Linked DNA regions of Drosophila melanogaster. The protein of the gene in region 2 interacts with the protein of the main gene of each other region in a pairwise test. Each region holds a gene or a part of one and is shown on either strand. Other genes may lie near its edges. The genes, in order: CG17648 and CG33170.

What was found.
Region 1: the proteins of CG33170 (region 2) and CG17648 interact in a two-hybrid assay, tested with the Drosophila melanogaster proteins (one large-scale study listed by BioGRID).

What each region holds. Positions count from the first base shown.
Region 1 is NT_033779.5:1,750,380-1,753,654, reverse strand, and holds CG17648 (uncharacterized protein), read right to left. Parts: upstream 1,348-3,275; 5' UTR 1,273-1,347; coding exon 886-1,272; 3' UTR 807-885; downstream 1-806. Other genes in the region: CG17712 (uncharacterized protein), read left to right, coding at 1,630-2,784.
Region 2 is NT_037436.4:22,863,541-22,868,305, forward strand, and holds CG33170 (uncharacterized protein), read left to right. Parts: upstream 1-1,945; 5' UTR 1,946-2,000; coding exon 2,001-2,156; intron 2,157-2,230; coding exon 2,231-2,284; intron 2,285-2,337; coding exon 2,338-2,424; 3' UTR 2,425-2,494; intron 2,495-3,575; 3' UTR 3,576-3,859; coding exon of another isoform or gene 3,860-3,923; 3' UTR 3,924-3,995; downstream 3,996-4,765. Other genes in the region: CG33169 (uncharacterized protein), read left to right, coding at 443-619; EMC4 (ER membrane protein complex subunit 4), read right to left, coding at 4,000-4,314, 4,367-4,496, 4,557-4,612.

The DNA.
Region 1 (3,275 bases), on a different chromosome or scaffold from region 2:
GCCCCGAGGTCGAAAGCAGCAGCATTCATTAGCTGTTTGCCGGAGCCGCTGGGTTTGCTTTAAATTTAATTGTTTGCCCGCTGCCGCTGTGCACTTTGTGGTTTAATTAAGACGGGATCGAGCGTATATGGTATATGGCATGTGGTGTACATGGATGTGGGTGGGGCAGACAGACGGCAGCTGCCTTAAACCAAATTACACTAATTGGGTTACCATATGACAGGGCAATGCGTCGACTGTGACATTTGTTTGCCATGGCTTGCCAATGCTTGCATTATGTCCGCCCGTCCACATCCTTCGCCCGCACAAACACAGCCCCCCACACGAATGTGTGGTGTACACTGAGAGAAAAAGCTCACTCAGTACGCAAATTCTTCAGAAGGGCTACCTTCCAAAAGTAAAGCCAAACTGGAGTCTCTAATCCCGTAATATTGATAGTTGTTCGGAAGTCTGAACCCCTAATTGTGCTCAGTGCATCATAAGCCCAGTCGTCAGTAAGTCCTTCACTCCACCGCCGTTTGCACTCGCAGTTGCCAGCTTGTAATAAGCTGCAGAATCATTTTCCGCATGCCGGCTGCTTTGACAGCTGCAATACCGCACATGGCTCAAAGGGTCGAAAAGCGGGCCACATGTGGTGGTATATGGTGGAAAAGGGGGAAAACGGGGCAACGGGCAAAGGATATGGGGAGTTGGAGACCGCACTCGAAATGGAAGCCAAAGGACTCTGGCTTAGTTAATTGAGTGGACAGCAAGGAGGTCTTTAAACTGAGATTGGCACGGATAAGAAGATAAGCATTATAGACTTTGTTGGCCTAATCTCACAGGTTCATTTGATTCTAAGCAGAGAAAAAAGAAAGTATTTTTTAAAAATAGTTTTAGAAACTTCTAGGCTTCGACGGCGGGTTCCATGGACAAGGACCTGCTGCTCACACTCCCGGCGGGGGTCATGATGTCCTCCAGCATTTGGTTGAGCGACTCGGAGCCCAGAGCGTACTCCTGCTTATTGGCACTTCGGTTGTGCATGGCGTCCAAGTAGACGCCACTCGCATTGCGCTCGCTGCTCAGAATGTGCTGCATGACATTGCTGATCTGTTCGGAGCCCAGGATCTTCGGTTGCTCGGTGGCCAGTCCATCGATGACCGCAGTTTCCAGCTGGCTTGAAATTTTGGCCGGCGACTCCTCCTCGTTGGCAGTTTTTAGAAAACGAATCGCCTGTGCAGAGGCCAAGGCTCCGGCCGTAAAAGAGGTCAGCAACTGAGCAATCGAAATCATTTGAAATTTGATATTTTTAAATGATTCGAAAGCGAATTTAGATCATGCTTTGAAAGTTCGTTACGATTGCTATGAATTGAGTTTAAATATTTCAAGGCTACATAAATTAGTAATTAACTCAATAGCCACCACTGATTTGGCTTACAAACTCTTTTGTTTAATATTATTTTTAAAAGCTTTAAATATTTTAAATAGATTTAGCTAGAAAATAGCTGACAGACACATATCGATATATCGCTGCGATAGCCACAGCTGTTCACGCCCGCAGTTTAAGCGATGTGGCAGCCCTGGTCGGCCACCAAAAAATAAACATTGGAATTTTCCCTTAACTTTATAGAGTTTTATCCAATTTGAGCGATGCTGCCGGGCGTTGGAGTGTTCGGAACGGGAGAGATAGCCAATGTGCTGGTGCCGCTGCTGCGGGAGAAAGGATTCGAGGTGCGGGCCATTTGGGGCAGGACCCTGAAAGAGGCGAAAGAGACTGCGACCACGCAGAATGTACAATTCCATACGAACGTAATCGACGATGTCCTGCTGCGGAAGGATGTGGATCTGGTGTTCATCGTGTGCCAGCCCTTTCTGCACGCGGAGATCTCGGTGAAGGCCTTGGGCATCGGGAAGCATGTGGTGTGCGACAAGCCAGCAGGATTGCACCAGCAGGACGCACTCAAAATGGTTCGGGCTTCTCAGTACTATCCCACTCTGATTTCCCTGGTCAATCACCCGCTGAGGTTCCTGCCCGCCTTTACACATATGCGTCGTTGTCTGCAGGAGGAGCTAATTGGCTCTATTGGCGACGTGGTACTCATGGATGTGCGCGTCCAGATGGGAACGCTCTTTCCCGAGAAGTACAACTGGATGTGCGATGCGCAAATGGGCGGCGGTGCCCTGAATCTCGTGGGATCCGTGGTGGACTTGGTCACCTTTCTGCTGCAACAGCAGGCAATAAGAGTGCATGGAGTCCTACGATCCTACACGAAAACCACACCGGCCATCAATGGCATTCGACAAATTACGGCTCCGGATTTCTGCAACTTCCAAATGGAACTGGCCAGTGGAACGCTGGTCACAGTGGCCCTGCACAGTCACACTGTGCCAGCAAAAGCCTTCTCGCAGGAAGTGCTCATCTATGGCAGCAAAGGACACCTGGTGGTCCGCGGCGGCGACCTATTTGTCCTCAAGGAGGGCCAACCCAAAGAGGAAGCTGTTTACGTGGATGTCCAGGATTTGCACTTCGCCACCAACAACTCTTTGCTACCACGACCATATATCAAAGGACTCTGCAAGATGGTGGGCGCTCTGAAGGAAGCCTTCGGCAGCAAGGAGTCCTCCTGGGTTAAGGCTCCAGTTTCCACAGCGGCCACCTTTGAGGACGGCCTCTACGTTCAGGCTGTGGTTGAGGCCATCCGGAAATCGAACGAGACCAGGCAGTGGCAAAGGGTTCAGCTGTCCACCGACAGCCCCCTGAATCACGACCAGATAATTCGATATGCACGCATGTCCACAATGTGAGGGAGTCTGTATTACATAGGTGCAATATATGAATGATTCCACTATATATTTTTTATATAATGTACGTGTTTAGTCTTTAAGCGTTCAAAAGATTCAGGCTTTCCAGCCGGCGTCATCTTCATCAATGTATTTAACTTATTTGTACGGCATCAGCATTTTGCAACTAATAAAATTGATTTGTTAGACATGAGACTTTATATTTATATTAGCTAGAAAACATTTCATGATAGTTAATAGCAAGGAACGAGAAGAAGTCATCAAATGTACCAAACGTTTTATTTTAAAAACAAAATTGTCTACACAAACTAAACGAAATATGTCATATACAAGTAATTCGAACTTAGGGCTAAAACTAAAGCTAATCACTAAAGAGACGAAACAAATTATTGATCACAAAAGTATCTTTGTAGCGGACCTTATAGAAGTAGATGAATATTCAAGACTTGGCATAGCTGGAGTCTTCGCGGAGATCCAGCTCAGTGGATGAAGTA
Region 2 (4,765 bases):
TTTGGGTAAATAAAGTATTCACTATTGACTGGCAAGTGAATTTTGTACAACTTGCTACGACATTTTTATGTTCAGATGGAGGCAAATACAGCCCCAGGTTAATTGATGGCTTTCTAACTTATGAAATGCGTTATTTAATTATAAAGACTTTTTTAAACGCGCGCTTCCGTCCCAGAGACATTGTTCAACACTAGTCGGCCGGACGTGTCATCAGAGTAACCCGACCAGAAACTGCATGAAATAAGCAGCACTGTCGACAGTCAAAAGCTGCCTGCTTTTAGCCAGCCCAGTCGAACGTTTCTTCTTCTTCTTTGGCCCAGAAACAACTTGTTGAACGAAAGAAGGCCAGCTCTCTGTTTTGTTGCTCCACGCACACACATTCCGACGAGTGTTACACGTCACCAGATTAAAGGAACTATCGCAAAAACTATCAGTGATAAAGATGCGCCAGCTGAAGGGAAAGGTGAAGGAGACGCGCAAACAGAAGAAGGAGCGCAAGCTGGACAACCTGGAGACCCAGGCGAAGATCCGCACCGTGGTGCTGCCGGCGCTCGGCGTTTTGGCGGTCTTTCTGGTGCTGTTCGTCTACTTGAAGACCCGCCCCGCGGTCTTGGCCTAATGTAGTCATAAAATGTAGTTTATAGTCGTGGTCAGTGCAATTGAATCGTTGTAAAGACATATAGCCTTAATAGTACAATTAAATCACAGTTCGTCCATCCAAAAAGCATGTTTTACATAAAGTGGATTTTCCATGACACGAACAACACCCTGCTGTTCAAGTGCAGTTCCTGGGAATTTGAGATTTGGGGACAAAATGTATCCGAATTACGGTCGTTGGTGGTAGTGTTGAAAACCGTCTAGCGCTTTGGCGGTTGATTAAAAAAGGGCACTAGGAAACGGTAAAAACCGTAGCAGAGGCACTTCAATATGTAAATATGTGCATATGTATATTAGAGAAGGCGGCATCCACCAACATGTTTTATTTTTGGCCGTTTTGCGTTCAGTTTTTAATTGCGATTGCCCTTGTTTCAGTTTCACTTACGCCCGTCCACCGAGGAGCTCGTCGTCGGTGACCGCAAACTAATAATTGTTAATACATATGCATATGCATGTACATAAATTGAAGTAAAAGTTCAGTGCTCGAAAGGCAGTAACTTAACTCCATAGTTATCAGAGTCAGCCAAATACGATTACCTAACCATACAAACACAAATCGCAGTGGGCCAGTCAGCTGTTTTCAGATTCCGAGCAGCTGCAGACGAAGCGCCGAAGCAGCGTCGTTTGACGTTTCTTTTTCACATTCTCTCACTTTTGCTAAGACTCTCACGCTGGCGGCTGCGGGTGACAAAGGCTCCTTTAACTATTCCACTATGCTCAAGTTTCTGGTAAGTTTTCCGGTTTCCTGATGTTTTTAAGTTTATGATTCACACCTGAAATCATATCAGATACGAGATACAACTTTTCTGTGGTTTTTGTGGTTGTGTTGCTTTTCGCGGCGATGACGCGCCCCTGCACAGTGGTGAAATGTGTTGTCTAGGGGTTCAAAATCAAAACCAATTATTTGATTAAATATTAATGATTAATATAAATGACAAAATGTAATACATTTGAAAATACCTTCCCAATATCTAACTTCAACAAATAAAAAAATAGTATTAAAAGTTTAAGCAAAATTCAAAATATTCTTGCTCGGATAAAACAAGAGTGGATTGGTAAAACGGTAGAAAGTGCGCCAAAACACCAGTTAAATAGATTCCAAAATTGGTTCAATTTGAGTTTACTTCCCAGTGTGCGCTGTTTGAATACATACATAAGTGACTTTTGGTTCAACGTTATATAAGGCCTCACAAATTCAAATATCCACAAAAATAAAATAATCACCTAGTCGTTGGAAATTATGTCGACCATGACCGCTCAAGCCATGAGTAAACAGATTCGGACTCTTTGAAAAACAACACAGGCCTCACCAAATTGATCGTTTATATAGACTGGAAGTTAAAATGAAACTGCTTGGACTTGGGGCGCAGGTTTTGAGGCTCAAAACTGGCGGGCAGAGTCGCTCTGCGAAAACTTGCCCACCGGAAGTTCGCCAGCCATTGCCGTGCTGTCCCAAAAAACGCTTTTGGACTTTCAAGCGAGTAATATGTTTCTCGACGGTCAGCATGCGAAATAGACATCTTCAGGAAGATTTTCACAACCCACTCTAATAATCCTCCTTTCTCCATTCCAGTTAACTTTTGGCGCCGGGGTGTATACGGGAATCTATGTCTCACAGAACTATGAGGTAAGCCACCTAACCCACATTTGTTCTTGCTCCTAATACAGTGGCTTTTTTAGGTCCCCCGAGTGGATGATCCCCAGAAGTTGATGCAGCGTTTCAACGAGAAACTCAAAGAACTAATGGATCAAACCAAGAACAAGTAACAGCCTTGGTAGTTTCGTACAAGGATAACGTTACCTTCACTAAATTCAAAAAAGTCATAGAGCGACCTTTGTAATTTTTTTTTTTTTTTTTTTTATAATTTTTTTTATTATTTATTGAATCTTCCCTTTGTGTTAAGAGACTAACAATAAGTGTTCAAATCTTAATCTAACTTAATTAACTTTCACTTAGTGATAGTTTTTTTTTTTTTCATTAATGCCCTAATAAGTTTATTGCTGGGCTGGGAGGTCGTTGCGGTGCAGCCGGCTTTGACTGCATACTCGGATTAGTTTTCTTGCGAGGGGATTTGTATGGGTGGTCAGCTTTTCGTTATACTTCGTTTTTTTCTCAGCTATTACTTCGATTACTAATTTGATTTTTAGGTCTCTGTGTATGTTTTCGTTTCGAAGGTACCACGGCGCTCCAGTGATAATTCTCAGAATTCTTGACTGTGCTCGCTGAATAATGTCTATGTTACTTCTGGATGCGTTGCCCCACAGCTCGGAGCCATAAGTCCAGATAGGTTTTAAGACGGAGTTGTATAGAAGAGCTTTGAACTCCAGACTAAGTGGAGAGCGAGCATTTATGAGCCAGTGGAGGTTCCTTGCTTTAAGTTTAAGATGTTTCGATTTGGCTTCTATATGTTTGCGCCAAGTGAGCCGCCTGTCCAGATGAACTCCCAGATATGTTACCTCGTCGGCTTGTGGAATGCATATGTTATTCAAGACCAGTGGTGGGCATGTTTGTTTGTTTAAGGTAAAGGTAACCTGCTTGCATTTTTGAACATTTATTGAAATTCTCCAGTCGGCAAGCCATCGTTCTACAGATGTTAAGTGTCGGGATAGGAGTGCCGTGGCTTTTATTGGGCATTTCGAGCGACTGAGTATCGCGGTATCATCAGCGAACGTGGAGGTTGTTAGATTGTAGTCTATGGGGAAATCCGCCGTATACAGGGTGTATAAGATTGGACCCAGTACACTGCCTTGCGGCACTCCAGCTTCGATTGCGCAATCGCGTGAAGTGCTTGTATCGCATCTTATTGCAAACACTCTGTTATATAGGTATGACTTCAGTAGCTTATGTGTGTTTTGGGGCAACAGCTTGATTATTTTAAACAAAAGTCCATCGAGCCACACTCTGTCAAATGCCTTTGTAATTAAAATTGTAAAAATTTTATAAGTCGAACTTGTCAACTAAACCTGGATTTTTTTTCGATATCTTATATTAAGCTTTCCACGCGCTTGTTTTACAAATTCTGAAAATAGGACAAAGTGCTGAAAAAATGCGTGCGAAGTCGTGATGATATCTTTCTACTGTGGTGAATGATGGCTTTTCCGAATAAAAATTTGTTGCCAGGTGCAACCATGACGAAATCAATGCTAAATAAGATCATATTATCATTCTGTATCTTAATTATTTTACTATTTTCTTTAACAGATCGCCCGGCGAGAAACTAGTGGATGACATCAAAAAGGAGGCCAAGAAGATACTAGACGACTGACTGGCGGAATAAGACCACAATTTTAGTTTAAACCAATTTATCTATGATCAAATAAAGAGAATCTATATGTGTAAAACTAGACAAACGAAATTCCTCCGCCGTAATATTCCAGGCGTGTCTGAGGCTGGACAAATGCCAACCAATCGGAGGCGTGGGTGGGGAGGAGCCCCATGCTCTGGCACTTGTAGAGGGCCAAAGCCACGTTTGCTAGGTTGCCCAGGAAGTAGACGATGCGCTGGCCAGTTCCCTGGGCCCCCTCCGCCATTTTGGAAGTCACCTGGGTGGTGAAGATGGCCTTGATAGGCCGGATCAGCATCATGCCGACCATCATGATGGGAAAAATGGAAATCGAGTTTCCTGACATGTACATGATGAATAGATTCATGGGAATCTGAGGGAATCCAAAGGTTAAGCACGGGTCTTTCCAAAGGGCTGCTACTCACGTTCTTAAGAGGTCCCAGGGCAAGGTCCCACGACTTCTTGATGACCAGGCGCTGGTCGCGCACCACTTCACTCTGGTTCACCAAAGCAGATGGATTGTAGCCCAGCGGCGAAGGAATATCAGCATTTTTGCTGCAGGAAAAAGCAAAAGTGGTAAGAACTTGAGTCACCGCGCAGGCTAGCAATCCTTACCTCCCGTTAAAGTCCAGCGCCCACTTTAACTTTTTTGGGTTTTGCTTGGCGGACATGCTGTGCTTTCTTTTATTTAATCTTTTGCCAATTTATAAAACAAAATGACGATTTTTTCTGACAATTGGTCGCTGAGTGTTGTTCAACGTTAAATTCCGAAATTATTGTAGTGTAGACAATTCGATAGGCAACTGATGTGTATGGCACCAGGG